2 linked regions of the Pelodiscus sinensis genome follow. The protein of the gene in region 2 purifies or fractionates together with the protein of the main gene of each other region. This does not show direct contact. Links are inferred from orthologs where the notes say so. Each region holds a gene or a part of one and is shown on either strand. Other genes may lie near its edges.

Region 1 (7,271 bases), on a different chromosome or scaffold from region 2:
CATGGGTGGTAGGGGGAGCAGGGAGAGACCAGCCCCCTTTGGAGCCAGTCTGACACCTGCCCTCCCTGCTGTGGCCAGAACGAGGCGCTGCTGCGCCAGATGCGGGAGCTGGAGGACCAGTATGGGGTGGAGCTCGGCAGCTACCAGGACACGGTGGGGCGGCTGGAGCAGGAGATCCGGCACATGAAGGAGGAGATGGCGCGGCACCTGCGCGAGTACCAGGACCTGCTCAATGTCAAGATGGCGCTGGACATCGAGATTGCCACGTACCGCAAGCTGCTGGAGGGCGAGGAGAGCCGGTGGGTGCAGCGCTGGGGGCACAGCTCTCCCAGCATCTGTTGCGAGAGGGTGGGGCTGTTCCCGCCCCCCCTCCCGCCCCCCCTCCCATCCCCCCGGGGAGGGCTGGGGAGTGGAGGATAAGCAGGGTCCTACCACTCACTGTACTTTTTGACCCTCCCTAGGATCTCGATCCCCATCCACTCGCTGGCCTCCTACAGTGTGAAAACTTCAGGTAAGTGCGTGCCAGATATGGAGGGGGGGATCCCCCTGTGGGTACCTTCCCCAGGAGTCTCACCCCTCCCCGGTCAGTTGTCGTGGGCTCCCCACATCTCTCCCTAGGTACCTGGGGAGTTGCTGGCCTCTGCCATTGTGTGGGGTTGGCCTGGGAACTGACGGGTTGCGGCAGATCCATATGGCCAGCAGTACAGCCCATTGGGGGATCTTCCCTGGGGGACCCCTGCTGTGACCAGAGTCTATTGTCCTGGGGCACACCCACCCCAGGGCATGGAGGCCTCACCTGGGGATTGGGGGTTCAGTGGCTGCAGCCACTTCCCTTCTCATGGCCTTCCTGTACCCCCTGCTAGCACCTGAGCCGGAGCAGACTGTGGAGAGCCACACCAGGAAAACCGTTCTGATCAAAACCATTGAGACCCGGGATGGAGAGGTGAGTTTCCTCCCTGCCCCCCCTTGGGACATGGGGGTGAGGAGAAGAGAAGAACAGGGAGTAGTCAGCCTGGAGTGTGCCAAGCCTAGGGTAGCGGGGGCTTGGGGGAGAAGCTCAGGGCATGCCTAGGCCTGTGAAGGTTCCCGGGGCGTCCAGCTGTCATTCAGACCCAGCATTACAGGAGCATGCAGAGAAAGTGATGTCTAGCAGTTGGCGCTGGGAGGCAGGACTCCTGGGTTCCGTACAAAGCTATGGGGGAACATGGGTTAGTGGCTAGAGCGGGGTTCTGCTCCTACCCCTGCCCCTCTGTGCTGGGCAGCAGGCTCAGGGGCTTGTGGGCAGGCCTCCAAGATCCTCCATGGCAGGGAATGTAGCCAGGCATGGGCTGAATGGGATCTAACCGTGGGCTCTCTGTTCCATCCTGCCCCCCGCCCCGCTAGGTAGTGACTGAGTCAAGTACGGAGCAGAGCACTGATGTGGAGAAGTGATCCTGGTGCTGGGCCGCTGCCCTGGACCGAGGCGACAGTGTGAAACTGACTTGTAGAAGCCACTGCGAGACCCCTGCTGCACCTGCCCTCCCCCCAGCCACACTGGCCTTATTACTACAGATACCTCTGACAGCTCTGCTGCACTGCCCCGTGCCTCCAGCCCGCCTACCCTCGTGGTGTGCCCAGAGCACCGAGAGCACAGCAATACCCACTCACAGCCCAGGGCAAGGAGGAGAGGGGCCCTGCCTCCAGCTCTCCCCATCCCTCTGCCCTCTCACTGCATGCTGTTTCCCCGATCTCTCCCCCATCCTGTGCTTTTGGCTCTGGGCTGGTTTTTCCTTCCCTGCTCTACCGTTGGGCGTGACTGACCTTCCCAGACTACGTGTACTGAGCCACAGGGCTGTGGTTAAACAGAGTAGGATCCTACACCCCCTCCAGCTACAGCCTAGGCCATGCGCTGCCTATACAGATCCCAAGACCACTCCCACGTCCCTAGAGCAACTGCTGTGAGCATTCCGCAGAACCGGTCCTCCTCCGTCCCATCATGTTTCCAGCCCCAAGGCAGAGGCTGCCTGAGTTTGGTACCAAAGAGGAGTCTGCTCCTGAATTGGACTCCACAGAGGAGTTGTCCTCGTTCCACTACCAAAGCAGGATGCTGGCCCCTGGCAGCTGTGCCTCGGGCTGCTGCCCAGCAGTGCTCCTAGTAGCAGAGATGCCTGTTGGAGTGGTGATACCAAGATCTGACTGCAATTCTGTGTTGGCTGGTCTCCAGCCCAAACACAGCCGGGCCCCCTGATTCCCAAAGCTCTGTTTTAGTACAGAAGAAACGAATTGCAGGGACTGCTCAGCAGGGCTGGATTCCTACCCCTGGCACTTGCAGCCTGGATTCCTGCTCCCTGGGTACAATCCCAGTATGCCTGGCAGATGGGGAAGCTGTTCCTAGTCCCAGTGCTGCTGTCTCTAGTGTTAATTCTCCTGGATGCTGCAGCATATCCTGTTCTGGCATTGCCTAGAGCTGCCATCAGCTCTAGACAACAGGGCTGAGTGAGCCTGGGGATGAAGGGGGTGAGTAATACCTAGGCCCAGTTGCTGAGGGTGAAGGCCCTTGTGCCCAGGGTACTAGTCTAATAGTGACAGCCCAGTCCTGTCCTGGAGTGTCTCTCCCTAAGGAGGCCTGCTGTGGTGCTGAGTCTCCATTCTCATTTTGATAGGGATCCCCGCCTGTCCATTAGCACTTGTGTTGCTTTGATTTTTGGACACATGCTTAGTTGTCAGGGCCTGAGAGGGAAAGAGTTTCTTCTGGGGCCTTTCAACCCTGGCTCCACTGCTGGAACAGATGTGTGGAATGATGTTTCCTGCTGCTATCCCAGCTCAGGGGAGAGTCCTGAGCCCCATACTGGCTGCTGATACTCAGCCCTGCTTCTAAGCAGGCAAGTCCTAAAAGACTGTGCTCCACTATCATTCCCACATTTCTGTCCTCTGGCCGCCTTCCCTCCACGCAGTGCCTCTGACTTTCAGACCCACTTTCCTTGCCTTAGCTCTGCCTTCGTTAACCAGGGGGCTGCGATAGGATCTCTCACCCTGCTGGACCAAGACACACGGGAGGCTGTGAGCATAGTTGCTTTGGTGCTCCTGGGTCTTCCCTGATCTGCCTGAATGGTGACACTGGCCCAGTGCTCGGCCATGGTGTTGAATGTGTCCTGTCCTGCTTTTCCAGCCACTAAAGGTCATAGCGAGGAATGTGCGTGTCTGCTTCTCATCTATGCCTCCTTATCCCACCGTCTGAGATCTCCACCTTCCAGTGGCTGAGTGTGGTGGGAGGGCAGGGGAAGAGACCTCAAATTCGACCCTCATTGGCAGTGCCAACCAGAGGGCTGAGCTGTCGGCTCTTAGCCTTAGTGGACAAGGGGGGCTATCCAAATTAACCTCACTCTGCTTGGACCTAGCAAACCTCCCACTGGGAGGCGGCCAGCCGCCCTGCTTGTCCCTTCGAAAAGGTGCTGGGGGTAATGGGTGAGGGGGAGCTTGTCCAGGCTGTGCCTGTAAGGGTGGGAAGAGGTTGGCTTCAGACTAGGCCCCCCAAACTGCTGCCTACATGCGCACGAGTGCCTGTTTGCCCCTTCCGCTCTGCTCTCGTCCTGGGCCAGCTCCCCACTTCCGGGGAGGAAGGCGTCCAGGCGGGTGGAGCTGTAACCCTGCAGCCCAGGGAGGCGGGAACACAGGGAGTTGTGGACACAGCAGCGCCGTGGGGCTGAGTAAAGTGATGCCTGGGTGGCAAGACCTTGGACCACGGCATGACGTGGCACCGTGGCACGTGGCTGCTGTCTGACGTGGCACCGTGGCACGTGGCTGCTGTCTGACGTGGTACCCTAGGGGGAGCCCTCGCAGGGGGGGGCACCTGTGGCTGACTCCAGCTGGTGAGGGGGGGGCATGATCCAGGGCCCTCAGGGGAGGGGCTGAATTTCCCCAGCTTAGCTCCTGTCTTCAGCCCCCCCACCCTCGGAGGACTCCCCCCTCCCCCCCCCCAGCCCATGAGCCCACCGCTCTACCCATGCACGTCTCTATGGTCTAGCCTCACCCCCCCCCCCCATAACTCCCTTCAGCTCAGATCTCGCGAGACATCAACTTCAGCTGGGCGAGTGCGCCCCGCCTCCCCCGCGCCTGATAGGGCAACACGGGCGATGACAGGCAGCGGCTTTGGACAGCGCCGACCAATCCGTCCCCGCAGCTCCGGCTGTCGCCCGGGCCCCGCCTCCCTTGCTCCCGATTGGCTCTCTCTCCGCCGACTCCGCCTCCAGCTGGAGGAAGGTGGCCAATCAGCTCCCTTGGTGTTTTACAAACCGGCGGCGACCCGCAGAGCGGCTTTACCCGGCCCCGAGCGGAGCGGATGCGACTGAGCCCAGGTGGGGGCGGGCGAGCTTATGAATGGGGGAGCGCGAGGGTATCCGAGGGGTCCCTGGCTGGGGGGGGCCGGGGGGCGCAGAGGGGGTGCTCCTATGGGTGATGGGCTAGGATTTTGGGGGGGCTTGATGGGGTGCGCACCCCGGGGAGGGTGTGTGGGTGTAGGGGGGGCCCCGGGGGGTGCTCCTATGGGTGATGGGCTAGGATTTTGGGGGGATGGTGGGGCACGCACCCCGGGGAGGATGTGTGGGTGTAGGGGGGGACCCCGGGGGGGTGCTCCTATGGGTGATGGGCTAGGATTTGGGGGGGGCTTGATGGGGTGCGCACCCCGGGGAGGGTGTGTGGGTGTAGGGGGGGACCCCGGGGGGGTGCTCCTATGGGTGATGGGCTAGGATTTGGGGGGGGCTTGATGGGGTGCGCACCCCGGGGAGGATGTGTGGGTGTAGGGGAGGCTCCGGGGGGGGGTGCTCCTATGGGTGATGGGCTAGGATTTTGGGGGGATGGTGGGGCACGCACCCCGGGGAGGATGTGTGGGTGTTGGTGAGTCTGTAGGGGTTGGGGGGCCCCTGTGGGGCGGGGTGCTGCTGAGCTCCCTGACAGCCCTGGGGTTGGGTGTGTCTCCAGGCTGTGGCTCATCAGGTGGGTCCCTGGGGCCCAGTGGAGGGGGGGGGTGCTGAAAAGGCTGTGGGCAGTCATGGGCAGTACAGAGCGGGCTGGGGGGCGGCGGAGATCGCGAGGGGGTGCAGACTCCAGGACCTTGTTGGCCTTGCTCCTTGGGGAGTGGGGGAGTCTCCCCTAGGGGCTGTGGCGTTAAATGCCAGGGAGAGAGCCAGGGACTGATGCCGAACCTTCACTACTGTCGCTCCCTGGCTGGCCCAGCGATCCGGGCTCTGTGCTGCAGTGTTAAATGCAGGCTCCTTGCTTTGGGCTGTAGCCAGTCCCCCAGCCAGCTCCGGAGGGACTCCGCGCTGGTTATTGCTGCCAGCCTAGCTCTAGCCACGGGGCCTGACTTGAAGAACCTGCGAAGGGGTCTCCTCTGGCCTGGTGGGGAGGTGGTGATGCACTCTGGTTGCATTGCAAGGCCGTTCATCTCCTGGGAGCATCTCTTTCTCCAGGTGCAAATGCCAGGAAAGGTGCTGCAGTGCTGAGTGGTGCAGCTGTCAGAAATGGCGCAGATTGGGAAGGGTCCAGAAGCGGTTTCCTTTGCCCGCCCACCACGGGGCAAGTGGACAGGCAGCTGTTCCCCCGCCAGGAGCGGACCACAGCCAGGGAAGGAGAATGAACCATCTGCCTGGGATGGGTCAGGTGCACAGAGCTGCAGCAAGATCCCTGTCCTAGCCAAAAGCCGCCTGCCCCCAGACTTCCAGCAACTGCACCAGACCTGGGAGAGCCAGAAGGTGAATGGCGGGTGAGGGGGAAGGTTTGGAGCCCTACCGTAGACCAGCCGCAGAGCATAAGTTGTTGGCTCTCCCTATGCTTGGGGGATAGCATCAAGGGAAAACACCTAGGCTGTGTCTACACTGGGACACTTATTCCGGAAAAGCAGCCGCTTTTCCGGAATAAGCTGCGAGCTGTCTATACTGGCCCCTTGAATTTCCAGAAAAGCAGTGACGATTTACTGTAAGAAATCAGCTGCTTTTCCGGAAAAACTATGCTGCTCCCGCTCGGGCAAAAGTCCTTTTTCCGGTAGACAGCACAGTAGTCTTTTCCGCAAAAAAGCCCCAATCGCGAAAATGACGATCGGGGCTTTTTTCCAGAAAAGCGCGTCTACATTGGCCACGGATGCTTTTCCGGAAAAAGGGCTTTTCCGGAAAAGCATCCTGCCAATGTAGACGCTCTTTTTCCGGAAATACTTATAATGGAAAACTGTTCCGTTTTAAGCATTTCCGGAAAAAGGTGCCAGTGTAGACACAGACTTAGGGCGTGGTTGAGATACCGCAGGGGCCTCTCCGCCAGGCTGGCAAATGAGGATCTAGGCTTCAGGCACACTTATCCTGCTTGGGGGTGGGAGCTGGTACCCTCTTCTCTCTTGCAACATGCTGGCTTCCCAAACCGGGTTCTGGTGCCTCCTTACCACCACTGAGTCACAGACCCCCTCTTAACTGGGGCAGACCAAACTCTGGTGCCAGGGAAGGGCAGAGTGAAGTGTTAACTGTCCAGCACATTAGCTGTTGATCAGAGCTTAAAATGCCCCTTGGGGCACTTGTTAGCAGAGAATCCAACTGGTGCACCTGAGTCTGGCTGGTCCTGTGTTCTTTGTGATGTCCCCTCTTTGGATCATTGTGTTTTGGCTGTGATCCTCTGGCAGAGATGAGACCAATCAGCTTTCAGGGTGTTCCAAGCCCCTCCTCTTCTCCCTCTTGCTGGGGTGCTGGGCTCCATGGCACAAAATAGCCCACATTTGTTGTGCTGCAGCTTTGAGTGATTTTTTCCCTGTTGCCCTGACAGCCTCAGGGCTATGGATGGTCTGGTGGAGTGCTCCGAGTGTCAGAGAGATGGGTCTACAATCTGTGTTGAAATGAACAGGGTGTTGTGTGGAGAGGAGGGAGGGAGGCAAACCCCTGGGGTCTGTACTTGGCTTTAGGACAGAGAGCGTGGTGTTCAGGGCAGGCACTGGGAATCCGGCCTCCTGGGTTCCATTCCCACCTCAGTGACTCTGTGATGTCAGGCAAGTTGCTTCCTTTCTAAGTGCCTCAGTTTCCCCCTTCCCCATAGGGATGTGCCTCTTCCTACTTATGCTTGTGGCAGCAGGTAAAGCCCAGGCCGGCTCGCCACACTGCCAAGAACGGGCCACCACATCCAAGCTGGTGGCTGCCGGGCAGTGAAAGGCTCCAGCAGCTCCTCTGCGCATGTGGGAGGCACCACTTGGGTGGGTAGAGCCATGTAGGGGACGTGCCTGGGGGGATGGGGTGTACATGGCTTGCTTCTTGCCATGGCTG
Region 2 (7,533 bases):
CAGTAATAGGAACGGTGGGGGCAGCCACTGCAGGCAACATGCAGGCCTGTGGACAGAGGCCATTCCTGCACACTCCCCCCGCAGGAGCTTTCAGGACCAGCATGGAGCCAGGGAGCCTGTCTTAGTTTCACTATGCCACTGACTGGGAGCCACCTGAGGTAAGTGCTACCTGGCTGGAGTCCCCACATCCTGAGCCCCCTTCCAGAGCCCAGACCCCCTCCTGCACCAGACCCACTGCCCAAGACTAGAGCCCTCCCATCCTCTGAACCACACCCCCTCCTGTACCCTAACCACTTGCCCCAGCCCACTGAAAGTGAAGGAAGAGTGAGGTAGGGGAAATGGAGTGAGCAGGCAGGGCCTCTGAAGGGGCATACTGGGGCAAGGAGTCTGAGTTTGTGCCATTAGATCAGTTTCTCCCAACCAGGGTTCTGCGGAACTCTGAGGTTCCGCAGACCATGGTCAGGGGTTCCACGAGAAATCATGGTATAAATAAATACAAATTTTGAAATACTGTGAACAATTCCAAATATCCCTCGAAATATCGCAGGAATTTTTGTCCGGCAATTGGCAATACTAGAGTAATCTTCGTAGGCTACCAACTGCCTCTTTGTTTTGGTCAGTTTGTATCTAAGGTTATATTTAGTTGTATTGTGCCTGCCCTTCCACTTACCAGAATTCTCTGCATTTAGCAGTAATGAATTGCACTCCCCACTGTCAACTATTTTTGACCACACAAACGTTTTCCTAGGTAGGGGTTCCTCGGGATATGAAAAATTATTTTAGGGGTTCCTCCATAGGAAAAAGGATGAGAATCACTGCATTAGATAGTTGTCAACCTAAATGGATTCCACCAATTTCTCCCTTACACTCATCCACTCATATGCTGGGATAGAAACTCGAATCAGATGTTACAACAGGGGCTAAACCTAGGACCCCACAGCATAGAATAGTATGTAGGAACTATGTTGTGCAGAAAAATGCCTCAGTGAGATAGATGCCAGCTCCTTCCCACTGCAGGAAAAGAAAGAGAGGAGCAGGTGCAGTCTCTGGAGGACATTATTCATCATTCTTGCACTGCAGGTTTTGGGTAGTCAGAGTCTAAAACTGATGGGGAACCTTTTTGAGTCGGGGCCACTGACCCACAGAAAAATCAGTTGGGGGGTTGCACAAAAGGAAGAAGCAAACAAAAACAAAACAAACAAAAACCTCACAGTTCACTGTGGTAGCCTCCAACTGAGAAGCAGACTCTTCCCACAATCCCCTTGTACATCAGAGCCTGGGGGTTTAAGCTAGTAGATTTTGTGGGGCCCCCAAACTCTGAGGTGAGGCTAAAAATGAGAGGTTCAGTGTGTTTGAGAGGGCTGCCTGGAAGCATGCATTGGATGTGGGGTCTGGTAGGGTGGTGAGGCTGGGCAGGAAGTAAGATGCAGAAGTGGAGTGAGGGTACAGGATCTGGGTGGGAGTGGGGGTACAGGAGCAGGCTGGAGATTGGTAGTGGAGAGTCTGGATGGGAGGGGGTTCAGAAGCAGGGTGGAAGTGGAGGGTCTGGGAAGGAGGGGGTGCAGGAGCGGGCTGGGGGTAAAAGATCTGGACAAGAGGGGGGTCCAGAAGCAGGAGTGAGTGCGGGGTTTGAGCGATGGGGGGCACTTAACTGGCACAGCTCCCCAGGAATGCACAGGGTTCGGTGTCCCCTGCTGCTCCTATTGGCTGTGAGTATAGCCAATCAGAGTAGTGGGAGAAAATTCTCCAGGCAGCAGGGAGAATGGAAATGGCAGCATGTGGAGTCATTTCTTTCCCTCCCCCAGGCAGAGCCCCTGAGTTGAATCTGGCCTTCCCTTGCCTAACTCTGTCCCCCAAGGCTCCGGGCTCCCAGCTGCTGGGGGTGGAGTCCTGGGGATCAGTTCCCCACTCATTGTCTAAAAGTGACCCTGCTTCACCCCTGGGGCCATCGGTTCCCCACCCATTGTCTAAAATGCAGGTGGGTAATAAGCAGCCTGCGGACCAGACACAGTTTCCTGGCAGGCAGGGACACTTTATTTACCTGCACATCCACTGGAATGGCTGCTTGCAGCTCTCTGTGGCTGTGAATTGCTCTCTCAGCTACTGGGAGCTGTGGGAAACTGTCCTGGCATGCATCGCTTCCAGCATCTCCCATTGGTCAGGAATAGTGATCCATGGCCAACAGGAGCTGTGACCCACTGTACCTGTAGATGTGCAGCTAAACAAAGTGTCTGGTAGTCTGCCAAGAACTAACCCTGGCAAACTGCATCCAGTCCATGGGCTGTTTATTGCCCAATGTGGTCTAAAAACAAGGATAAATACCCTACACAAGGGCTGCAGGCATAGGCAGAAATTTTGGTGATGTCCAGAATGCCAGAGCCTGCACTCTAATGGCACTCACGCTCTTCCTCCTCCAACTGTTTAAGGCTCTGAGAGGGAATTTGGGTGCTATGTGCAGGCTCTGGGTCGGCACAGGAGATACAGGCTCTGGGATGGAGTTTGGGTACAGGAAAGGTGAGGCGCTGGAGGGATTTGGGGTGCAGGAAATCTGGGGGTACAGGCTTTGGGAGGGAGTGTGAGAGTTGAGGCACAGGGAGAGCATTTGGGGGCTGAAAGAGGAATCCAGGGGCAGGACAAGCCCCTATAAAGTACTGTCTAAGGCTGCAGGAATTCTATTCTCCTAACCAAACTTGCTGATTAGGACGGGGGTCTCAAACTCACAGCACTGGGAGCCATCTGCACCTGAGCAGTTCCACAATCTGGCCCATGCACAGTTGCTGGCATGTGATTCTCTGTGGCCCTTAGATGGTGGTCATACCCTTCCCGCAAATCCAGTCCCTGCTCTGCCCTCTCCCCTCCATTGCACCCCTTACCTCAAGCCTCTTCCCCTGAGCTATGTGGCCTTGGGGATTACCAGAGGGCCTAATGCAGGGAGGAAGATGGGGTCCCCTGCACTCACTGCAGTGACAGGAGCTTTAAGAAAGCGAAGCAATGCAGAAACTGCTCTGCTCCACTGCCATCTCCCAGGTCAGCCCTGTCACTCTGCTTCACCTTAGCAGCAGAAAGTGGAGTGCCCCAATACGGGACTGGCCTGGGAGATGGGGGTAGACCAAAACAGGCTGCTGCTCAGTTCCACTCCCCACAGGTCCTATTGCTGTGGTGAATGTAGGGACAGCCTGCCCAAGTCCCCACAAGCTAACCTGAGTACCTTTGCACATACCTCCCCAAGGCCACAGAGACATACCTGCAGTGGCCCAGAGCTAACATCTGGAAGCCATTCTAGTCCCGCTGCCTTACCTGTGGTGGCAGCTGGGGATGGGGCTTAAATCAGCAAGGGGACAGTCAGAGCTAGGGGATTCATAGGAGGGGGAAGGAGTGTGCAGGGCAGCAGGTGAGGCAGGGGGAGAACATGTGCCGACCTCTCCCCCTGCAGCTCTGCCAGACTGAAGTGCCCACTAGGAAGATATGAGGACTGGCACTGGCCCTAATATAAACTGAGTTTGAAAGCCCTGGGTTATGGTCTCTGCAGCAGCCAGAAAGCTGAGAGTAGCAAATTTGCATCTGCTACCTCTTCCTTCTCCTCTCCATTTAGGGCCTCCTCCCTAGTGACTAACTGCTGCAGGGCTGCCTTCTGCTATTGCTCATCGCTTCGTCCCGCTGTAGGTTTCTTTCTTTATAGCAGCCACCGTCCATACCGAAGTTTAACTTAGCAGCTGAGGTACTGGCTCAGCTGCCCGCGGAGCCGGGCAGGCAGCGCTGCCCCCGGCTTAATCCTGCGGGAAAGCGCCGAAAGGGGGGTTTCTCCACAACTGCACGCTAGAAACTTCTTTGCCTGCTGCGGGAGGAATGGGTGAGTGCGGCGGCGGCTGCCTGCAGGCGCTCATGCGCCAGATCCCGCTGGCTCAGGCCCAGGGGCGGGGGCAGCAGAGGCGGAGGCGTCTCCCGCCGCTGTGCGCAGGATGCAGCGGCTCCGAGCCCTGCCCAGGCAGGCGCGGGGCGCGCGCGCGCGCTCCCCCTGTGTCCGCAAGGTCCCGCGCCAGGGACAAGCCGGGCTGCGGCGGCACCTCCGAGTTCGGAACGTCACACGCCGGTGGCAGCGGGGAGAGAGAGAGAGAGAGAGAGAGAGAGAGAGAGAGGCACCAGTTGCCACGGCAACCAAGCCCCGCCTTCGCCCATTTCTCCCCCTCCTCACGTCAGCGCGGCCTCCCGCCGTGATTGACAGTTACCATAGTAACAGGCTTGTCCCGTCGCCATTTTGTCAGTTGGGTTTTTTTTTTTTCAAATAATTTTCCCTTCCCGCTCGAATTATAATTTTACCCAGGAAACCGTCCTCGCGGGTTTTAGGGGCTCCGTCCCTTGGCGGCGGCAGAGAGGGGACGGGGGGAGGGGGCGGCGGCGCGGGCGGGCGCGGCAAGGAGCGGTCCGGAGAACAGCCCTGGAGAAGCCGGCTCGGAAGGGGGGAGGGGGAGGAGCAGGGGGGGCGGGGAGGGAGGGGAGAGCGGGCGGGCAAGTGAGCGAGGAGTTCCCGGGGGCTCGGTTCGGCGCTGCGCTCCCCCCGCCCGTCCGCCAGCTCCCTCGCTCGCGCCGCTGTCTGCGAGCTGCCTGGCCGGGGCTCGGGCCGCCGCCGCCACCGCCGCGTCCGGGCCCGGCTGCCGCCGGTGGCTGCGCAGGTTTGGAACGCGCGCCATTTTGTGAGCGATAGAAAATCTGCCCGGCCAGGAAGCGCCGCGGATCCGCCCGCCGGGCCGGGCCCCCCCCCCGACTCCCCGCGAGAGGGAGGCGCGTTGCAGGCTCCCTCCGGGGCCGGGGCCCCGCGCCACAACCGGGGCCCGAGGGCGGCGGGACTGGCGGAGCGGACGCGCTGCGGTGCTGGGACTCTTGGCCGAGGCGGGGGAAGCGCCGGGCTCAGCCGCTGCCGCCTCCCCGCAGCTCGCGAGAGGAGGCCTCTGCCGGGACCGGCCCCCGACGGCAGCCGGGCAGGAGAGCAGAGGCCGCCGCCGCCCCCACACGGGTAAGTGCCCTGGCGCCGGCTCCGCTAATGCCGGCCCCTCGACGCGGGGACAGCCCCGCTGCCATCTTAGAGCAAGGGGCCGGGGAGTCCCCGCCCCAGCTTGCCGGGCCGGGCCCGCTGCACCCGCGCCGCCCTGGGGAGGCTGGGTCTGGCCGGGCGGCCGCAACACCTTTTTCTCCCTGGCATGAAGGTGTTGGGCTCTGCGGCCCCCGCTGCCCGGCCAGGGCTGCTCTTGTCGTTCTGGTCCCGGGGGCTGGGAGAGCGGGGCGATGATCCCGGCTGCGGAGTGGGAAGGGGATGGCAGGACTCTCCGGCTGTGACCTTATGGTAGGTGAGATGGGTCGGGCTCTTCCGCAGCCCCCTAGGCCGGGAACGAGTCAGAAGTTGAACAGAGCAGGCACCTGTTGTGGTGGTGGGCTGAAGTGCCCCGTCTGCACTCGGGTTCGCGATTTCTGTGTCAGGTGTGGAAGTTGGAGGTGGGGATGGTGGGAATACTTGTCACGTTACTGTCATTTTGGAAAACCCACAGAGTGCACGTCTTCTAGTCGTTAGCTAGCTGCAGTGTTTGGCTGTGTTGCTAAAGAAGCTAGAAAACATACATCATGCATTTGAGATAATAAACGTTTTTGCTGTAAAGCAGCTCTTTTGCTAACAAAGTCCAAAACTGCAACTAAAGTACTGTAACTAGACATTCCAATAATGATGTGTTTCTGACTCTCTCAGCTGTGTAGTTTCTAGTTTAGTCTTTCCAAGGACTGTGTAAGGATTCTTTGATCAAGAATCTTGAATGCTGGTGCTGCTTAGCTTTCATTATTCTCCAGTCATCAGGAAAAAATCAAACGGAGGTGTTTTTAGCTAATAAATAGAGAGAACTTGTTAAAAATCGACAAGGATAAAATATATGACTTATTTGCATCCCAGAGATAACGTGCAGATAAAATGGTATGTGTTTCCAAACACTTGCAAGTATTACAGTCACTTTTAAATGGACAGTGCTCAAGGTTCTGTACAAATAGAAATTAACTATTTTTATCATTATATTGCTATCAGGTTGTTTTTTTTAACTTATTCCAAATGAAGCTTCCTTAAGAATCCGGAAGTATTCTGATAAATCCTCATTTTTGGTAACTGCAGAATACTGTTGAAATAATTATACTCTTTTGGGTCTGATGTGTTAGTAACTACATTCCAGTATTTGAATGTTAAATGTTACTAGTCTGATTACTGGTTTTCATGTGTTCAGCGAATTTATTAAATATATAAATTGTTCTGTAGATTGGTTTTGGTGTCATCAGCTCATATGAAGAGGTACCTGCAACAAGGGTGTTTTCTATATTTGAGGTTTAATGTAATTGATATAAAGTGTGCATAAGTTTTATTTTTTCTTTCTATTACTTTTTTTGGCATTTATCGTAAGTGTCTAACTTAACAGTGCTTCATACCTGTATCTTGAAGTTAATGTGCAAAGTGAATGCATCTGGTTTAGAAGTTGAATGAAAGAGAGCAATTAGTTTTATAGCTTTACAAAAGGAACAGTTTCTTATTTCTAGATACTGTACAAGTGTTTGCTAAATAAAAAGTACTTTGATATCGTTTCCAGGCTAACAAAAATATGGTAGGACACAATTTATGTCAGTAACTTTATTATATTTACTGAAATAAGATTTGTGTAGGTTTTGAACTTATCTTGTTTTTTAGTGGCCAATTTGAGTAAAGAAGAGTGAGTGAGGATGGTTTTAGTAAGTAGTAGAGGCAAGGAGATTTCTCTGATACTTGTGCTTCAAAAAAGTCCAACGACATGCCAATAGTATTCACACTATGTGTAAGGTGATAGTGATGTGGTCTGTTAAGCATCTGTCTTTTTTTTGAAAGTTTTGGGCTCTGTGTAGATGTTAGCACATGTTAGGTAATGGTCTGGACAAGATGCACTAACTTGACAAGTTTAGCCTGTATTATAAAGCAATTTAACTTGTCTAGACTAGACTTTTTAAAATGGTATGTGTTTTCTAACATGGTAGTACCCCATCTTTAAATCTTAGTCTAGAAAAGGGTTTAAAGAGAAACTTTTAACTGAATTGAAACATTTAGACTGTCTCAACAGGTGAAAGAGTTGTGAGGTCAATTATGGTAACTCGAATGAGCAAAAACAAAAAGGTAGGATATGTATATAGTGTGGTGCTTTTTGCTACAAGAATGTCTGTTTGAGAGCTTTCCTATTGAAAACTTTCCTAATTTTGTGGTGTGGGGTTTTTGTTGTGTGTGGTTGTAAATCTATGAGAAAGTAAGTAAACAAGTAGTTCTGATAAGGGGAATATGTTCTTTTTCACTGGTTATTGGAAGGAGAGAGGAATTATCTCTAGTATATATTGTGCTGATCTTTTAATAACAATTTCTGACCTGATCTGTAAACTCCTCAGAAACAACTAAGCATGCCATGCAGAGAGAATATAAGTGCAATATTTCCCAAGGTAGTGAGGGGGATAGATCATCCCCATAAAAACTTGAGTGACTTTATCATCAAT

What was found. Proteins that work in one complex are often made in the same cells at the same time.
Region 1: the proteins of DYRK1A (region 2) and TROAP purify together in Homo sapiens (affinity purification with mass spectrometry; 6 studies listed by BioGRID and IntAct, with this or other methods). This does not show direct contact. The link is inferred for Pelodiscus sinensis from reciprocal best matches to the Homo sapiens genes DYRK1A and TROAP.

The regions. Positions count from the first base shown.
Region 1 is NC_134729.1:4,785,578-4,792,848, reverse strand, and holds the start of TROAP (tastin), read left to right. Parts: upstream 1-4,212; 5' UTR 4,213-4,334; intron 4,335-5,447; 5' UTR 5,448-5,498; coding exon 5,499-5,729; intron 5,730-7,271. Other genes in the region: PRPH (peripherin), read left to right, coding at 79-299, 462-511, 864-943, 1,384-1,431. UniProt on the Homo sapiens protein: Could be involved with bystin and trophinin in a cell adhesion molecule complex that mediates an initial attachment of the blastocyst to uterine epithelial cells at the time of the embryo implantation.
Region 2 is NC_134711.1:186,526,579-186,534,111, forward strand, and holds the start of DYRK1A (dual specificity tyrosine-phosphorylation-regulated kinase 1A), read left to right. Parts: upstream 1-4,461; 5' UTR 4,462-5,011; intron 5,012-5,069; exon of another isoform or gene 5,070-5,338; intron 5,339-7,533. UniProt on the Homo sapiens protein: Dual-specificity kinase which possesses both serine/threonine and tyrosine kinase activities. Exhibits a substrate preference for proline at position P+1 and arginine at position P-3.